Mus musculus: one gene and its partners. The protein of the gene in region 5 purifies or fractionates together with the protein of the main gene of each other region. This does not show direct contact. Links are inferred from orthologs where the notes say so. Each region holds a gene or a part of one and is shown on either strand. Other genes may lie near its edges.

Region 1 (3,516 bases), on a different chromosome or scaffold from region 5:
GACCAGCCTAGCCTACACAGCAAGTTTCAAACCAGTCAAGATTATATAGTGAAATCCTGTCTCAACTGTCCCCATCACCTCTTAAAACAAAGCAACCTTTAGAATGATGAAAACTTCTATCACTGGGGCTGGGAAGATGGCTCAGTGGGCCAGGGTCTTGCTGTATAGACGAACGATGTGAGTTTGTACTTAGGACCCATGTAAAAGCCAGATAGAGTGGTAGGACAGGCATGTGAATTCCTGTGTTCCCCTACTGAGAGATGAGTCAGAAGCAGCAGGGTTGGAAGCCTGCAGGCCAGTTAGCCTGCTGTGCACAGCAATGAACAAAAGAAGCCCTGTCCAACGTGAAAGGCAAAAACCACCATTCAGGGTTTTCCTCAGATCTCCTGGGCGACACTGCATTTGTGTGACCACAGTCACAAACAAAATACTGAGGCTTTCTATTTACTAAGTTACCAGTATGCTCAATATGTATCATACCCCAACTAATGGGTTAAACCACATTAAAGTGTTAGCAAAGCAGGCTCAGTACTCCCAAAGCCTGTGTGCATGGAGAAACTGGGGCTCATTCCCAATAAGATGAGAGCACTCAGTTGTAAAGAGGAGAAAAATCATTGTCTATTTCATTTGAATTTGTACTTTCTAATTATTTCCTTAGGTTCACAATTTAATGTGAATAAGAAATAGCAAGATTAGAGAGGATGCCTTGTCCAAATTAACATTGAATATCAGTCAGGTCAGGGATGGGGACCCATTTTCCCAGTAAAGAGGAAAGACGTACTAAGTGGGAGAGTCCAGCGTGACAGGACACAGTCACAATCTGCAGTGTGCCGGGTGGTGCGGCAGCACTGTGGCAGAAGAGACAGCTAAGACTTATGTTAATGTGAACAGCCAGGAGCCACAGTGGGCTCCTATAGTATTCTCAGGAATGATTTTAATTACCTTGCAGGACTACAGAGAGACGCTGGCTTTCAAGAATGTACACAAGTTCTGCTGAGTGTTTAAGGAAAGCCCTGAAGAGAAAGAAGGAAAAAACCCTGTTAGATATCAAGCTTGTGCCACATACGCACGCCTTTGCCTGCTGTGACGTCTTGTCCACCTGCATAAATATATTTTAACCGTGCTTAGAATCAAGCAAAGCTCCCCATCCTCTATGCACACACTTTTGATTTTTATGGCTCTCTCTGGTATTAACAGGATGATTCTTTAGGGAATAGTATCAGGGAAATTCACCAACCACGTATTACAAAACAGGCTGATTTACATAATGTTCAGGAAACACGGCTTCAGAGGCAAGGATGAAGTAGTGGTTGTCAGAGGGCAGGGATCCAGGGGAAGACTGGGGAGAGGCTGAAGGGGGCGCTAATGAAATCTACAGATGATGGCAACATTGGTGGTCAGGCTGGATGCTGCCCTCCAGCTAGATAAGGTTACCCTGAGGGATGCTAGGTGAAGGGCACGTGGCTACCTCTACTATCTTTTACTTCATGTGAGCTTGTAATTATTTCAAAATAAAAAGTAAAAAAGAAAAGTCGACAAACCTGACGTACTCTAACCACCGGGTACTTTCCAGTGAAGACAACCATTTCTCTTCAGTTTCTTCAAAAGGCTCTGCATTACATAGAACAGTGCTGTTAAGCTTAGCTTCATACAGTCAACATCAGAGTTAAGCAATGTCCCACACACATTAAACAATTAGCTTTGAGGAAATAGCACACACTTGTACTGCAGTCAGCACTTAGGAAGACATGCTTATGATTCTTGTTTTTGGTTTTTTAAAGACAGTGCCTTGCCATGAAGCCTAGACTGGACTCAAAACTCTGGGTCCCCTTTCTTCACCTTCTCAAATGCTGAAGTCATAGACATGGGCCACTGCACCAAGGTCACATGCTATATTGAAGCAGAAGACAGCATTCCCTCAAGTCTTGTCTTCTACCCTCTGGCATTTTCAAGGAAATCCTGCCGCCCCAGGTCCCATCTTCCCGATGTCTCTTCGCCTTCCCAGCTGCCAGTGTCATCTCTGTGTGCATGTAGCCCTGGATCAAGCACTGCCCTGCCCAGGGTGCACATAACCACTCAAGGCCACACACTGCTAAGATCTCCTACCATAACAAGGCTTACTCATCATCCAAGACCTGCCACAAAGCCAGTGCTCCACAGGCCTTCTACTCCAAAGATGCTTCCATGAGACATCTTCTCAGAGCAAAGTGCAACCCCGAGTCTATGAGGCAGAACTCTAAGGGCACACATACAATACACACTCAGCTGAGCCACTCATCCTGAAATTAAGCGTGTGCACTGGGATCTCAGTTATATCTGTCTGCTGAGCAAACGCTTCTTTAAGGTATCTATATCTTTCAGGATTTGGGGGGAATTTAACAGGTTTGTTTTTTTTTCTCTCCAAAACCAAGAGAAATTTAGACTTCATTTTCTAGGGATTGAGTCTCTCCTTAGATGTATCTTCTATATTTTTAAGGAACATCACTTTTCCTGATTGTTCCAACATAATTTTTTATTACCATTCATTGATAAATAATAGATAGATAGATAGATAGATAGATAGATAGATAGATAGATAGATAGATAGATAGAAAGAAATAGATACAGGCACAAAATAAAAATGTCATTACCATTTACACACAGTTGCTTAAGTTTTACAAATGCCGCTTGTATTTCTTGGATGTTGGGCAAAGCCTTATCCAAATCTGACTTGTAAACATCACTTCTCTGTGGATGACTTTTAGTTATGGCATTGCAGATCCTAGTAAAGACAAAATCCTTTAGTATCTCTTCATCCATTTCTTCAACAGTAGACATTTACATTCAAAAGTATTTTATGCTTCCTGGGATAATCATACAATGGTGTCAGCCTATGGGGCCTAGTAAGGATGACAGGCAGTAATTAAACGGCCATCACACATAAAGCATATGGAATGTGAGGTGCCTCAGAACTAAGAGGTAGAGAGGCCAAGGCGGTGGGGTGAAGCGTGTTCATGGAGGAGCATGAAGAAGGTGACGCAGGAGGGAAGAGCCCTGTTGGGAGAGTGAAAAGACCAGGTAATTTCAGGTGGCTGGAGCCCAGGAAATGGAACATAGAAAGAGAAACACAGCACCAGTAACACACGGGGGCGAAGCTGGGGGGGCAGTCCGTGGGTTTATAACGTTCCTGGAAAACTAAGTGGACAAACGGGACGAAGACAGAGGCATCTGGCCGGAAGACATGCTGGGCAGATCCCTGAGTTCAGTTTTAGACATAAAGTTTAAAGGGCCTTGAAGGTGTCCACATGGCAGACATCAAGCTAACTAGAGATGATGTCAATGTGCTGGTTACTAAAGCCAGTCGTTGGTGTCCTTCTGCAGAAAGGAACACAGATCAAAAGGAGAAGTCATGAGAGCCAGCCGTGGAGGATGCAGCCCCAGCAAGGAACAAGGCAGTAGCTGAGGATCCTGGGCACTGAGAGCTGGTCAACTGTAAACAGCTATGAGAGCAAGCAAGAGAAGCTTCCTCCTAGTAAC
Region 2 (3,516 bases), on a different chromosome or scaffold from region 5:
AAGTCATCCTGAGGTGATGGAGCAGCTTCCTGGTGTCTGTGGGGTATGACTTGTACCTGACAAGCATATTTGACGGAGGACACTGGCCCAGTGAGAGGGAGTTTCTCCCCAGGACTGCAACTGTCCGCAGTGAGGACACTCACCTCCTCTTTGTCACTCTGGTGGAGATGGTTACAGCGGTCCAAGAAAGAGTGGCCACCCATGACCCATTCCTTTTGGATGAGGCTCTGGAATCCAGTCCTGGTTCGACAGTGGGCGTCCATCATCACTTGCACCAGAGAGGAGAGGAGGCAGCAGAGATCAGAAGCATTCTCTTCTACAAGGAGGAGGAGGGCAGAGTGTTAAAGAGGCAGTGTTCTCATCCCACACAGCTAACAGGGTTCCTAAGAGCAAGATCGGTTATTACTTCCTATAGACAAGGGCCAGTTGGGGAGACAGGCTGCTTGTGGCTTATCAGGACAGGTCCCAGCACACAGGGGTGGTAAGCATAGATCTGCTTACTGAACAAAGGCAGCCCTGAAAAATCAACTTTTAGCACACAGCGCCTGTAGATGCCATAAAAGAGAACAGTAACAGCTATGCACCAATAGCCTGCCTAACTGCAGACGGGGCCTACCTCCCTTCCTCTGGGGGAGAGTCACCTTTCACTGCTCCAGATGCCGGCCCTTGTCTTCCACTTCCTATCCTTCTTGGATTGCTTTACACTACAGAACTTTTCAGCCATGAGTCTCTTTCCTGTTCTGTCTGAGGAACACAGAGGCGCCTGCTTCTCCTTGTCAAGCCTACAGGAGGAATTCTTGATATTCCTCCACATGCCCACCTGGAATGCACTTCATACAATCTACAAGGCTAAAGTCTATTCACAGAGTTACCTAGCACAGCTGACTTAGAGCAAAGGCAAATACATCCACAGTCATGCTAAAGCCAGGTCTACATTTCCCATGCTTCCTATTTATTCCCCCTTTCCAAAAAGGTCCAACTCATACTGCTTTTTAAAAATGTCCTCAAGGAAGATGGTGAGAGTATCATTCAGGTTAGAGAACTAGACCTAGAGATATAATCATGCTGTTAGCACTCTTCCTTCCCGTACCCTAGAATTACAATGCCCTAAATCTCAGGCTTACACTCATCTCTAACAACCATGCAAACACCTGGGGTTAATAGAAACAGTCTCATGAATATAAGCATGTGTGTGTGTGAACCTGCATGTGTGCAGGTACATGTGGAGGCCAGGCCAAAGGACAATTCTGTGTGCTGTTCCTTGAGTACCGTCTACCTTCTTCCTGCCCTCCAAGACAGGCCTTTCACTGGCCTTGAACTTAGGGTTAGGCTGGCCTGCCTTTCCAATGAGCACCAGGGCTCCTGTTTCCTCCTCCCTGGGCTGGGGTTATAAGCACATGCTCCCACGCCTGCCTGTCTGCTGTCTGTTTTCCAAAGCTACTGGCGGACTCATCTTCTCTGCCCAAGAGACAGATGTTTTTATCTGACCTCTAACGCGTCAGTCTTTGACAGTTCCATCTTGAAGGCAATGGCATACCTCTGGGGACATCTCACTTCCATCAGAACCAAACTGCACACACTGCACAGCTCTAGAGTTGGTCCTGGGCTCTCCCGCCTGAGTTCTCATTCCTTTTTACTAGCTATTTGAAACTTAAATACTACTCTTCTGTGTCCGTGTAAGAATATGCTTAAGGTGGTGTTCCCATTAGTGTGCAAGTGTGTAGGGTAAAGCAGAGTGCTGCACACGGACGGTGCTTAGCACGGGCACTCAGGGCTAAGGCATTAGTACCGGGTGGTCTAGAAACCACGAAGAGGAATATCTTCCAATTTGCTTTCCCTTCTATGGCAACTGCATCAAGCTGCCAGCACACAGACAGGAACAGTCATCTAAGCAGCTACAAGTCCCCCGGGGAAAAGGGTGTCCCAAAGACTGTTGGGTAAAGACACGGAACAATTCCTTCTTGGGCTGTGAGCAGGTCTGCCGAGTTCCACGTACACTGCGCCACTGAGATCTGAGCAAAGGATTATAGGTGAAGGAAACGGGGGTGGCGGGGAAGGAAACTAATCCGCTCTGCCAACCATACACACAAAAGCTGACTCTTGGTGAATGGGGTTGGAAACCTTATTACCCAACAGGAGGACGTTCACGTTCTGCGCTTCCAGGCATTCCGTAATCTCGATTGCTTTCTTCAGGCAGCGTCTACACAAGGAAGAGAAGGGAGCAGGAGCGTTAGTTACTGAGCTTGCTGCTATAAGCAGGACGTTTAGAGGTGGTTTGAATTACGGATATACACTAGTACACACAAACATACACACACACACACACACACACACACACACACACACACATTTATTCTAAGGGATAAAAGCAGTATCCTAGATATCCACACTCTTACATGCACTGCAATGTTCTCATAGTCATCAAAACATGGAAGCAATCTAGGAGTTCACTGACAACAGAACAACTTTGTGTGTACATGTGTGTGTTGGGATATTATTCCGCAGTAGAAAAGGGCATTCTATCACTGCAGCAATATGGGAAGAACTTGAACGAAAGACAGGTGCAGAAAGGCAAATGCTGCATAATTGCACAACGAGAGCCTACAAACGTCCAAGTCCGATCTGCCAGAGTGGAATGGTAGTCCCCAACAGACAGGCAGTGGTAGAACTGGGGAGATCAGGGTACAGCACAGATGCAAGGAAGCGCTGAGCTGTGGCTGTGGTGCCATCACACAGAGCCATGTGAACAGATTTCCACACCGTGCTCCTCACTGGGGTGTAGTCCAGGTACAGTGCTCACATGTGGAACTAGGTCCCATCTCTAGCACCACCAACAAACATGTAACGTCAATGTATAAACTCTTTGTCAATTAAATATTTATGAAACCCACCAAGAACTGCAAGTTTTCATAAGGGAGTCATAAAATCAATGTAAAGATGATCCCAGTTACATTTTCTTTTGTATTGGAATTTTTAGTTAGTATACCAAATAATGGAAATGTTTCTTGGCCATATTCATCCTCCATGCTACCCCCCACCCCTCTCCCATCTTTCCTGGTCTCCTCATGCCCCAAACAGTCACTCTTCCATGCTCATGGGAGGGGGTCAGTGAGAGGGTAAGAAAAATGATATCTAGATTCAGTTTGAGAAAATGTACCTTACTTTGTTCCCCTAACTCTTGTCTATTGTTATTTCAGAGCCACACCCTCCCTTCATGGTCTCCCCTCTACCTTTTTCTTCTTCTTTTCTTAAAATCTGTGTGAAAAGGTCTCATGCAGCCATCTTCTTACTACCCATCACTACTTCAAACTGCTGGGTTTCTTTTTGTTTGTTTGAGACAAGGTTTTTCTGTGTAGCCCTGGCTATCTTAGGACTCCATCTGTAGACTGGGCTGTCCTCAAACTCAGAGTCTCTTGAGAACTGGGATAAAAAAGCATATGTTCCCACCTCCCAGCTAATTATTTTTTATTAGATATTTTCTTTATTTACATTTCAAATGTTATCCCCTTTCCTGGT
Region 3 (3,424 bases), on a different chromosome or scaffold from region 5:
GACTGCAGCTATGGAGAGCGGCTCAATGCTATGAGCAGACCCGCTCAGCCCCCAGGCTGGCCACTGAGGAGGCCTGTGAGCCCCCAGCTGAAGCTCCTGCCTGACATAAGGACCAGCATTCCTTAAAGCTGTGTGAGGTAAACTCCAAAGATGATGGACAATATCCCCTGCAGAAACCAACTCCTCAACCCAAAAAAGTCTATGACCCAGGAAGACTTCAGTGTCTTCTGCCTGAAATCAATATAATCTGCCACTCGCCAGGGGAAACGGTGGCCCAGGAGAGGCAGGAGCTTGGCACCTGGAACAGCTTACTAGGGGTGCAGAGAGGACGCCTGAGACTTTCCCCAGATGCCGCAGGGCTGGATCAGAACCCAGAAGCTCACGGCCACACCCCAGCATCTCTGTGCTTCCGAGGCCCAAATGGTCACAGTTTAGATGGAGCCTTGGCCCCATGCCGCTCCTGAGTACTGCACAGTGCAGAGCCAACCTGACATCACAGCACTCAGAGGTTCTTTTTCTTAAGAAATAAATTTAATTCTGGGTGGTTAGTGAACATACGGCAGGCGGTGCCGTCATGGAAGTTAAAAGACTCCAGTTACAAAAGCAGTAGTGGGCACAGCTTCAAAGAGCCGAGAGGACAGTGGGCTCCAGAGTCTACAAAGTACAAAAATTATTTCATATACAAAGAAAATACAAGTAATGTGCAAAAACCATTTCACAGGTGGCAAATTTATAAAATGAATATGATAAAAAACTCCTTCATTTTTATTTCCCAATTTCTTATATATTAATACAGTTCTATTTTCTAGTGTGTTGATAATTTTTAATTTGAAAATTTGATTTATTTTTAATCTACAAAGTAGTTTTTATTATTTAAAAAGGAAACAACCTTTTATTACTAAAATCTTATGAATCAGTTTAGTTATTTTTATTTTAAATTATAAGCAGGCTATCTGAAAAATCAGGATATAGAAATCATATATACATATTTTGAAATATTAGTTTGGTATTTAACATATTAACATTTCAAAACACACACACTGACCAAGTTGCTAGGGCCCGGTGGCAGCGGTGGCCGCTCAGGCCCACCACAGATGAGAAGCATCCTTGAGTTTGAGGCTGGAGCAAACAAGGTTATGGTAACTGGGAGACCTTAGGAGCAGTTCTTCTCACAAGCAGTGCTGTCTGGTTAGCTGGCCTGTCCCCTGTGTGCTGGCCTGTCCCATGTGTCTCAGTTTGTCCAATGGCTCCCTGGTTAGTTCAGTGCTAGTGTTCTGTGGGCTCGCACGCTTGTTACTTCACAGAAAGCTGTGGGGAACAGGAGAGAACGCAGGACCCAGGCACTGTGTCCTCAGAGACTCGTGGTTTGAAGCAGTGTTTCCTGCACTGGCCCAGGTCATTCTGTGCTATTGTTAACCTCCTCTGCCTGCCACTGAGTAGTGACGTCTCCTGCTGCGAAGCTCCCGGGCAGGAACCATGAAAGCACCTTTGGCAGCACCAGGGAACCGACATCTCAAGGATCAGGCAGTAGGAGGAGGTGTGTCTGATGGGACACCTATGCGGTCGGTGTACAGCGACCTTTGAAGGTTTGGATTTCTGTGGTCCAAGTTGTTGAAGTTATGGCTTTGGAGAACAGTCTTCATGGAGGAGGACTCAGGTGGGAGCCACCTTGCCTACATGACAGCAGCAGGTCCAGAGGCACCCTCTCCACTTCAATCCTGTTGGAATGCTGCAGGGAGAGGGAGGGCCAGGGCTCCCACCCAGACCTGTGTGACATGCCAACTGCTTCCAGAGGGGACAAGGTAAGCAGAACCTCAGGCCCTGGGATGACCGTCATCGCCCTGTCAGGCAGATGAGTGAGTTCCTCTACCTTTCGTGCTTGTCTGATCCTGGGCATCAGGCATCAGAGATGCAGCTCTGGATCCTGTCCATCCATTGCTGGGCGCTCTGCCCATCCTGGGCACAGAAGTTATACACTCGCTTGCTGGTCTTGAGCTACAGAAACAAGCGACAGAAGGGTAGACATAAAGCAGGACTGTTCTTTTGGCTTTGGGTGAGTAACAAACTAATCCCATCCTGGACAGACAGAACGGCCGGTTCTAACATTGGGTTTGGGGGTACTTTAAGGGCTATGCAAACAGATGACTTATAATTAATTAGTCCCTGACTAATAATTTAAGTAGTCCTTAAAATGAAGACAGTTTCATAAAGTAGATTACATTCTCCATCCCTCTACAGGCTATGATGCTGTTCCCTGGCTCAGGGTTTCTACTATGGCTCCATATGAAAAAAGGGGGTGGCACAGTTCCCCTGAGAGCTCTGGCATACTGTTCTTGCTTTGGTGCTGTGTAAGAGGCCAGAGGCACCAGCTGGTCCTGGGACCCCGCGCCATCCATGCCCAGCTCCTTTATTAAAGGCAATTCCGGGAAGAGGTCCTTTCCCCACTCCAGTGACTATGGGCAGTGACAGTGCTGTAGCAGAGGCAGAGGAGGGGACAGTGCTGCTCAGTGTGAAAGGTAGTCATGGGGATTCATTAGCCACTCACCCACAGCTTTAATTAAACACTCCTTTTTATTGACTACCAACTCCTTGGGGGCCCTATAATGTTTGGAGGTCATGGAGAGACATGCAGAAAGAACAGGAAAGAGGAACTTACATCAAAGAAAGCCTTGTCACTTGTATACTTTGGGGCTCCCATGCTGGGGCCGGCAGGGATAACCATTTCTACTTCAGCCAGATCAATGTGGCCTTTACAACTCGTGTCTTCCCCCGAATCATAGTATCGCAGCTAGGACCAAAAAGAGACAGACAGGACACAGTAAGGGGAAATGACCCGGCTTTCCAGACACATCTGACCACATCCTCTGCACCTTGCTTGTTGGTGCTGACTCTGCATGGAAGAATACTCTAGCATTAACAACGCAGGCTGCCTCTTGTACACACCTTTAATCCCAGCACCTGGAAGGAGAGGCAGCAGATCTCTGTGAGTTCAAGGCCAGCCTGAACCTCAAAGTGTTACACAGAGAAACCGTCTCAAAAAACAAAACAAACAACAAAAAGGAATTCCTGGATGCTGCTTTCAATCTAGTTGAAAAGGTCAAAGGACTCACCAGCAAGTCACAGAGGGCTTGAAACGCCACTGAGCTAGACGGCTGGAGTCTCCCCAGCCTGACCCAACCAAGGAAGTGACATGAGTGCCGTCTTTACTCCGCCACTGAGCACTGGCTAAGTGACAGCATGGCACTGGGATGGACAAAGGACAAGGAAGGCTTCCCAAGCAACAGGAAGTTGGAAGGAGAATGCAGTCTAAAATGGCACTGAGGGACATTACAGAGAGCTCCCAGCTGCCAGCTCTTGGAGATGTTTAAGTTTGGCACAATAACCATGTATTACTTTGGAATAAGAAGAAATGACGAAGTATTTT
Region 4 (4,165 bases), on a different chromosome or scaffold from region 5:
ACAGCCCTACTCACCAGGTGCGGGGTCTATGCTGTGCCATCTACACCCTCTACTTTATAGAGTCTTAAGGGAAAGGGTTACACACAGCTCAGGCATTTATTGTCTGTAGCCTTGCCCACAAGTCACCAACTGTAACCATTAGCAACCAGAATGCTACCTCTCTAAAAAGGCATTCATTACCAAGGTTTGACTCCTAGCAGCTGCAGAGAAAAAGTTCTGATTCAGAACAAAACTGAGATATCCTCTCACGCGTATTCCCTTAATCTAAAGGACCCTGCATCCTAGGTCAGTCAGCACACAGAGGGCCCTTCACCTTCTTCAGAAACACCTACCTAGCGTTCTTACATCGGCTACTCAGATCTGAGATGTAAATTATCTCCTTGGGCCAGTCCTGTGCTATATCTTTACGCATAAGTGTTCCTGACAGCCTCAGAGCAGCTCCATGTGGCCCATTCCATATAAAGACGGGGAAACTGAGGCGAGAGTGCACGGTAACTGGCGCAAGCCAACGGTGAAGAGTGACAAAGGAAGGACAACTAATCTTCAGTGTGCTCCTCAGTTTGGGGTCTTTTGTTCTTGGTACTCACATCCCTTGCCTTATAGATCTGCCTTCAGCCCACACCCAGAAACCCGATTCCAGGCTGGTTCCTCAAAGGAATGCCTTGAAGCCGAGTGGTCAGCCAACAACCAGTCAACTCTGACCCTAGAAGGCAGTGCTTAGAGAGCTCACTGGCCTGCAGTCGCCACAGTGATGGGTAATCTGAGAATTACTCCATCACACCGGTGATTCAGGAAAAGTAGCCACCTCTGGCCTCAGCCTTCTATCCCGTCCTGTACAGAGGTCAGAGGTCCACACCTCTTGTACAGCTGTATCAGTAAGCCCCCACGTGCCACAGCAACTTCCCATGGAGCTACCCACACATCACCCTCAATTTTACTCCACTCCCAGCAGACCTCCCCAACCTGGCCTTTACCTACATTCTGTTTCACAGGACCTTCTTCATAACCTTCTCACCACCATCCAAGTCCATTCCATTCCTCCAGCCCTGGCCCAGCGCCCAGCCCGAGACCCCAGCCAGCCCTCAGCCAGCTTGGTTTCCTCACTCTCCAGCAGTACTCCTCCTCCGTTCCAGAGGAGGCACCTCACTGGCCTTCACTTATGCCTTGGAGCACAGGTTCTCCCTGTGTGTGCCAGTACAACACTGGTGGCAAGCCTCCTGCTCAAGGAGGACAGGGGGATGAACACAATGTGGTCTCTGCCTTTGAGAACTCCCTCTTTGGAGGGAAAGACAGATGCTCGGGACTGAGTGCCAAAAGATATAGACTTGAATACATGAGAGCAGAAAGAAGCGAGGGTACTGAACAGATCTGAAGACAGAGGTGGTGGTGGTGGTGGTGGTGGTGGTGGTGGTGTTTTCCAGTGCATACAGGGTCCATCATGTGGACATTAAACAAAGGAACAGTCCTAGTGGAGACTTAGCAAGAAGAAAGGCAAAGAAGAAAGTTTGGGTCCTGAATGGTGACAGTGACAGCTGGTCTGAGAAGCAGCAGAATAACTGTGTGGAATAGATAACTGGAACACGGTAGGAAGCATTACATCTAGGGATTAAGGGGCTACCTCATCTGGCCACAGTTGTCCCTAAGATACCGCCCCTCTGCAGGTGGACTCTGACAGCCAGAGTACAAGTCCCAGCCTCCATTCCAGACCCACACACTCAACTTCTCTATGCCAGATTCTATGCTGAAGATAGGGCAACAGCAAGGCAATCTCAGTGGGCTATTGGGAGAAATGAGATCATACACACAAAGGGTTGTGCAGGGCCTGGCACACTGAGGACTCCAGCCAACACCCCCCAACACTGTTGTCTCCATGGCTGTGGTTGATGTCACTGTCAGGCTCCGTTTTCTCCTACCCCCAGGACTGAAGGGCTCTCAGACACAGGTGCTGACTCCAGATCAGGGCCTCCTAGATCACCACACTGATCCCCCGCTGAGGGGCCTGGCTTAGAGGCTTGAACACCAGGAATGCTCTCCTCCAAGTGTGACACTTTCGTCTGAAGTCCGGCTCCATACCACCGACGAACCCCTCCCCCTCCACTGCACCCCATCAAGCGGTGCTTGAGGCTTCAGACCTAGCACTGGGTCAGAGAAGCTGGAAGACGAAAACGTTCCGCCCCCCTCTCTGAAATTCCCAGACCCAGCCACCGGCAGGCGGCCAAGGCGGGGTGAGCCCATCCCACCCAACTTGGAATCGGGGAGACCGAACTGCAGCAGGGTCCTCCAGCCTCCCACGCCCGAGCGACACGCCCCTGCCCACCTCGGAACAGCGACGCAGGTGCCCAGGTGTAGGAGGGATGTTTCTTACACAGGCCATGTCGTCCGGGGTCCTCGCGGGTTGCCCCGACGCCACCGTGGCCAATAACTACGGAGGCCTCTTTTCGAGAGCCCCGAGAGCTCGGCCCCAACTCCTGACCCTGCCTCCGGCCGGGTCTTCTTAGCTTCGAGTCCTCAGTCCCAGTCCCTCAGTCCCCCCCAGCTCGTCCCCCTCGGCGCTGAGACTCACCGCGCGGGTGCGGCCCGAACGCCACCAGCACGAAGTAGTCCGCGAGCCGCGCCATGGCAAGGGGCGCAGGCGGGCTCCACGGCTCGAGGGTTCGATGGCGGCGCGCTCATGGCCCGGCGCTGGCCCTAAGCTGCACACTTGGGACACCCCGGGCCCGCTCCTCTGCGGCGCCGCTGACCAGGGCTTCCGCCGCCATCTTCCCAGCCAGCCGGCCCGCCCGGGCGCTTCAGGAGCCTGCGCAGTTCTGCCCCTCCCGTGTAGGCGGGACCTGGCACAGTGCGCTTCCATTGGGCCACTCCGCATGGGGCGGGTCCAGAGGGCGCTGCCCCGCCTACTACCTCATGCTCAAGGACCGGCTCAACCCTTTGGGCGGGTGAAGCTTACGGCGGCCGGGGCGGGTCAGCTACCCTGGTCCCGCGGCCGACATTTCGACCTGAAGCACCACCGGTCAGGATTAGGGCATACTTCCCCGTCGGAACTGAAGCCCCGGAATGAAGGGAGACCTGGACCTCACCCTTGGGAGAGCCTAACTCCGAGGGTCAGGGGCGTGGTCCAGCTCAGTCTGCCTGAAGCAAACCAGTGGAGCTCAGGCCTTGTCCAGCCAGTCTCCCAAACTAGAGGACCGAGCTGGGGGATGGAGGAGTGTCATGGCTTCGCCACTCACCCTGCCAATCTTATGGTGGCCAAGGGAAAGACTTTACAGGCTTTTTTTTTTTAAGTTCCTAGTGCAAAAAGGGGCAGCTAGATATTTCACCATTGGATGGATGGGATATCCAACACCTGCATTTAAAAAAAAAAAAAAAAAAGTTCCAGCTTGAGTCACCTTCCTGCGAAGTTGGATCGCCCTGGAGGTCAGGGGGTTGGCCAGGCCTCTTGCAGTAATACAGGAATGGACACTTGTAGGAGAGGCAAGGTCCTTGACCAGGAGATTAAAGGGGGAGGACTAGGCTTGCTTGTTGATGAGTTTAGTTTTCTGTGAGAACTGAAAGACAAGCCACCTATTAGCATCGTGTTCCCTCCACCTGCAAGATCTGGAGAATGAATGAAAGCAATCTCAGGAGAGACGAGTCCAGTCGTCAGTGTACGTGTATAAAGAGTCTCGGCCCTTGAGAAGCTGAAGCAGGTCGTTCATGAATTCCAGTCCAGTCTCCTTGGCTTCATCAGGAAACCATGTGTCCAAAAAACAGGAGATATAAGGGCCTTTCTGGAGAGATAGTTTAGAGGTTATGGGAATCTGTGCTGGATTTGCAGCACCCTCGCCTGCAATTCTGGGTCCAGGGGGATCTGTCGCCCCCTTCTGGCCTCCGGAACGTGTTTGTGGTGGTGCGTGGACATACATGCAGGGAAAACACCCATACACATAAAGTGAAAATGTCTTTTTTAAGAGAGGGGGATGAGCTTGGTGGTCATGGTGGTGGTGGCAGCGCACGCCTTTAATTAAAGCGCTTGGGAGTCAGAAGCAGATGGAGTTTGAAGCCAGCCTGGTCTACGGAGCTAGTTCCAGAACAGCCAGGAAGCCCTGTCTTGAAAAAAATAAGATAAAATAAAAATAAATAAAAGAGGGGAAGAGGAAAAGACTGTCCTAGGAAAGTTCTGTGCACA
Region 5 (3,516 bases):
TTGATCCTTCTCTACTGGATGGATGGGTGGTGTATGACACATAGTATCATTTCTGGGTGCTCTCCTCCTCGATGCAGTCATCTCTTTTTTTTTTTTTTTTTTTTTTTTTGGTTTTTCAAGACAGGATTTCTGTGTAGCCTCGGCTGTCCTGGAACTCACTCTGTAGACCAGGCTGGCCTGGAACTCAGAAATCCGCCTGCCTCTGCCTCCCAAGTGCTCGGATTAAAGGCGTGTACCACCACCGCCCGGCTGCAGTCATCTTTCATTCCTGGAATGAAGTCTAAAATTGCTTGTAAAATGGAGTGTCATTATTAAAAACAAGCAAAACTGTTTATAAGTATATATTTCATATTTTACAGTACTGAGTAACAGTAGGACACGGCCTAATCTCAACAATAATGAGATTGTAACAAAGTAAACTCAACTTTTTTTTTTTTTTTTTTTTTTTTTTAAAGATTTATTTATTTACTATATGTAAGTACACTGTAGTTGTCTTCAGATACACCAGAAGAGGGCACCAGATCTCATTACGGGTGGTTGTGAGCCACCATGTGGTTGCTGGGATTTGAACTTCAGACCTTCGGAAGAGCAGTCGGGTGCCCTTACCCACTGAGCCATCTCACCAGCCCCTAAACTCAACTTTTGCCTAGGTTAAAATACTTAAATAAAAATGGAGACTTCTATTTTATGATGCTGTGGCTACTGACGTCACTGCCTGAGCCTGAGAAACGACTGAGTACACAAGTGGGAGTCCCTGAGATCCAGCGTAGGCTGAGTTGGGCGGTGATAGGCAGCTAGCAGGCATGTCACTGAAGTGCAGGAAGGGAAAGGCAGTTAGTCCTGTCTAGCAGAAGAGACACGAAGTGAGCCTTAGGAAGCAAGAGTGAATAAGAAATGATTGCTCTACATGATGGAAATATAATAACAGCTGATTGTGGTTTTTATTTTTAAAAATTAGGTTCTGGGAATTGTATGGTCCTATGCTTTTGAGGCAAGCACTTTACCTACTGAGCCATCTCTCCTGCCCAGAAAAAACAAATGTTGATAGTGGGCGTGTGCCAGTACTTCTGTCATTTCCTTCTCCGTTGGCCCTGCTGAGCGAGGGAGCACGGGAGGATTTTCTGCCGTGTAGTAGAGTGTTCTGGGTTTCTTCGCTCCCAGTGAACCATCGTTATTTTTTTGCTTACAGGAGCTGTTTTTGTATTGTAAATGCAGATCTTCCCTTTACCCAACATTTCCATGTTACCTCATTTATTCATTAAAAAGGAACAAAGTGATTTAATTAGATACTATATCTTTTCTAGGATATCAGGAACTTGCGATTTGCTCATAAACCGGAGGGGCGAACAAGAAGATCCATATTTGAGAATCTAATGAAATATGCATTTCCTGTGTCTAATGGCTTGGTAAATGTTTCTCTATAATCTGTATTGTAATTATTAGTGTGGACAGACTCAGCTAAGTTGTCCAGATTCTCCCTTTTCTGTTCCTGATTTGGCACTTAGATAGAGGTTATCTTGTGTCCAAGGTCCATTTCAGTAATGACATTCTATAAGTACATGTTGATTTCTTGGGAGGTGGAAAGAGTGAACTAGAGATTGAACCCAGGGCTTCACACATGCTAGGCAAGTGCTGTACCAGAGTGGTTTTCTTTATGTGTCTTTATTTGAGACAAGGCTGCTTCTCCTGCCACAGCTCCATGAGGTCTGGATTTCAGCCTGTATCACCATCTTGGCTTATGTAATATTTTTTATTGGATGTTTCTATGATAAAAGCTTTATGTAGTTTTCATTAGAGTTTGAAGTCTCCCTGGGTGGGAGCTGGCATTAGGACTAGGAGTTTGGGACAGTTACTAGTGAGTATTTTAGCTGTGCTAGATTCTCTCAACTGCATGATAGCATTTCACCTCCATGGCAGCCATATTCATTACCATGTTAGAGCCAGAATGGAGATGGCAGGGAATTGACCCAGCACTGGAATTAACACTGGATTCCTCACTTGAGTTGCAATTATTTTTTTAAACACCATAGTTTTTTTTCTAGTTACATGTTTAAAAAGCTTATATGCCAATGTATAAAAAGCTTGTTCAGTGTATTAGAGCATATAGTATGGACTTTAGAGCCACTACTGCTGCTTTCTAGTGTTGGACCAGTTATTTCTGTTGGAAAGCACCTTCTTGGAGATGCCATTCATTACTTAGAGTGAAACCTACAAAACGTACCAGAATATTTAAAAGAAATAGGTTAGCATTTGGTAAATTTTATAAGTGGGTCTTGTGTTTTCTTGTACTTTTTAAAGCATATAAAGATATTTAGTGTTGTAAATAAAATAGTAATTTCAGTCATAAAACTATTTAAAAGGGACAATAGAAAATATTCTTGCAAATAAGTAAATCAAAACAGAAGTATTGCAGGGACATATTTCTGATTCAATACTTTCTTTAATGTCCTTTTTAACTGCTGTTTATTTTGTAGCCTCTTTTTGCTTTTGAGTATAAAGAAGTATTCCCCGAAAATGGGTGGAAACTGTATGACCCCCTTCTAGAGTACAGAAGGCAGGTACGTGCTTTTCTCTTCAAGCTTTTGTGTTCTATGTTATTTTCATGACAGTTGATCAAAGTAAGGAGTTCTTTTCAGTGTCTCTTCGTTTTGTTTTAACTGGAAGCTAATCTGGTTTGGTGGGTTTCTTTTCATTTCCTTTGAGTTGCTTTTTAGAATACACTAGTGATCCTTTATGAGTCTTTATCTAGCTCATAAGTATCACTTTGTTTAAAAAAATGTTTGTTCACTATAAAGTTGAAAGTGGGATCAGTATGTGTAAACTTGTCGTAATATCATTCATTTCATTTTTTTCATTTTAGGCATTCTATAATTTATGAAATAAAACAGTAACTGTACTGCTTCTAATTTGAGTTCTATTCTTCACAGAGGATAGAGAGATGCATTCCCTTATGCTAAGGGCAGCATGTGACCTACCTTAGTTAGTACCCTTACTTTACTTCTTAACTTGGTGTCTGTGTGGGTGCTTGTAAGGATTGAGTTCATGGTTTCACCTGTGCTGGGCAAACTCTCCTACTGAGCTCTGTCTCCCTGCCACATATAGATCAAAGTTTAATTACTGTTGATGGCTTCTCAGATAGGTCCCACTCCATTTGGATGCATTTACATTTGATGAGTATTTATTAATGGCACATGTGGTTTTCTTTGTTGAGGCTCTTTCGTCTGTCTTTTTGAAGGAATCATCTGTTATTTCTTTGGTATTGTTACTGCCTGTGCTGCAGTAGGGAAGGTACTGACTAGTTTCTCACTGATGATGTCATCAGGATTAGCAGTGCCTGCTATGTCACAGACTGTGTCTGTTGAATGAGTGAGTGAAGGGAGGCTAAGAGAAGAATTTGCTTAGCGTGTGCTCTGTGTGTTACTAACATTTTGCATACTGGTTTTGTTTACTAAACCATGTGGTAAGCATGGTGTAAAGATACGAAATATCTGCATAGCATGGGTAAACTGAAGCATG

What was found.
Region 1: the proteins of Mtmr2 (region 5) and Mtmr10 purify together in Homo sapiens (affinity purification with mass spectrometry; 5 studies listed by BioGRID and IntAct, with this or other methods). This does not show direct contact. The link is inferred for Mus musculus from reciprocal best matches to the Homo sapiens genes MTMR2 and MTMR10.
Region 2: the proteins of Mtmr2 (region 5) and Mtmr12 purify together in Homo sapiens (affinity purification with mass spectrometry; 5 studies listed by BioGRID and IntAct, with this or other methods). This does not show direct contact. The link is inferred for Mus musculus from reciprocal best matches to the Homo sapiens genes MTMR2 and MTMR12.
Region 3: the proteins of Mtmr2 (region 5) and Sbf2 purify together in Homo sapiens (affinity purification with mass spectrometry; 3 studies listed by BioGRID and IntAct, with this or other methods). This does not show direct contact. The link is inferred for Mus musculus from reciprocal best matches to the Homo sapiens genes MTMR2 and SBF2.
Region 4: the proteins of Mtmr2 (region 5) and Sbf1 purify together in Homo sapiens (affinity purification with mass spectrometry; 6 studies listed by BioGRID and IntAct, with this or other methods). This does not show direct contact. The link is inferred for Mus musculus from reciprocal best matches to the Homo sapiens genes MTMR2 and SBF1.

What each region holds. Positions count from the first base shown.
Region 1 is NC_000073.6:64,318,660-64,322,175, reverse strand, and holds part of Mtmr10 (myotubularin-related protein 10), read right to left. Parts: intron 2,762-3,516; coding exon 2,631-2,761; intron 1,612-2,630; coding exon 1,542-1,611; intron 1,014-1,541; coding exon 943-1,013; intron 1-942.
Region 2 is NC_000081.6:12,260,525-12,264,040, reverse strand, and holds part of Mtmr12 (myotubularin-related protein 12), read right to left. Parts: intron 2,201-3,516; coding exon 2,130-2,200; intron 317-2,129; coding exon 144-316; intron 1-143. UniProt on the Homo sapiens protein: Acts as an adapter for the myotubularin-related phosphatases. Regulates phosphatase MTM1 protein stability and possibly its intracellular location. By stabilizing MTM1 protein levels, required for skeletal muscle maintenance but not for myogenesis.
Region 3 is NC_000073.6:110,307,502-110,310,925, forward strand, and holds the end of Sbf2 (myotubularin-related protein 13), read right to left. Parts: intron 2,789-3,424; coding exon 2,657-2,788; intron 1,996-2,656; coding exon 1,897-1,995; 3' UTR 512-1,896; downstream 1-511. UniProt on the Homo sapiens protein: Guanine nucleotide exchange factor (GEF) which activates RAB21 and possibly RAB28. Promotes the exchange of GDP to GTP, converting inactive GDP-bound Rab proteins into their active GTP-bound form.
Region 4 is NC_000081.6:89,312,499-89,316,663, forward strand, and holds the start of Sbf1 (myotubularin-related protein 5), read right to left. Parts: upstream 2,814-4,165; 5' UTR 2,619-2,813; coding exon 2,564-2,618; intron 1-2,563. UniProt on the Homo sapiens protein: Acts as an adapter for the phosphatase MTMR2 to regulate MTMR2 catalytic activity and subcellular location. Promotes the exchange of GDP to GTP, converting inactive GDP-bound Rab proteins into their active GTP-bound form.
Region 5 is NC_000075.6:13,790,675-13,794,190, forward strand, and holds part of Mtmr2 (myotubularin-related protein 2), read left to right. Parts: intron 1-1,304; coding exon 1,305-1,406; intron 1,407-2,474; coding exon 2,475-2,558; intron 2,559-3,516. UniProt on the Homo sapiens protein: Lipid phosphatase that specifically dephosphorylates the D-3 position of phosphatidylinositol 3-phosphate and phosphatidylinositol 3,5-bisphosphate, generating phosphatidylinositol and phosphatidylinositol 5-phosphate.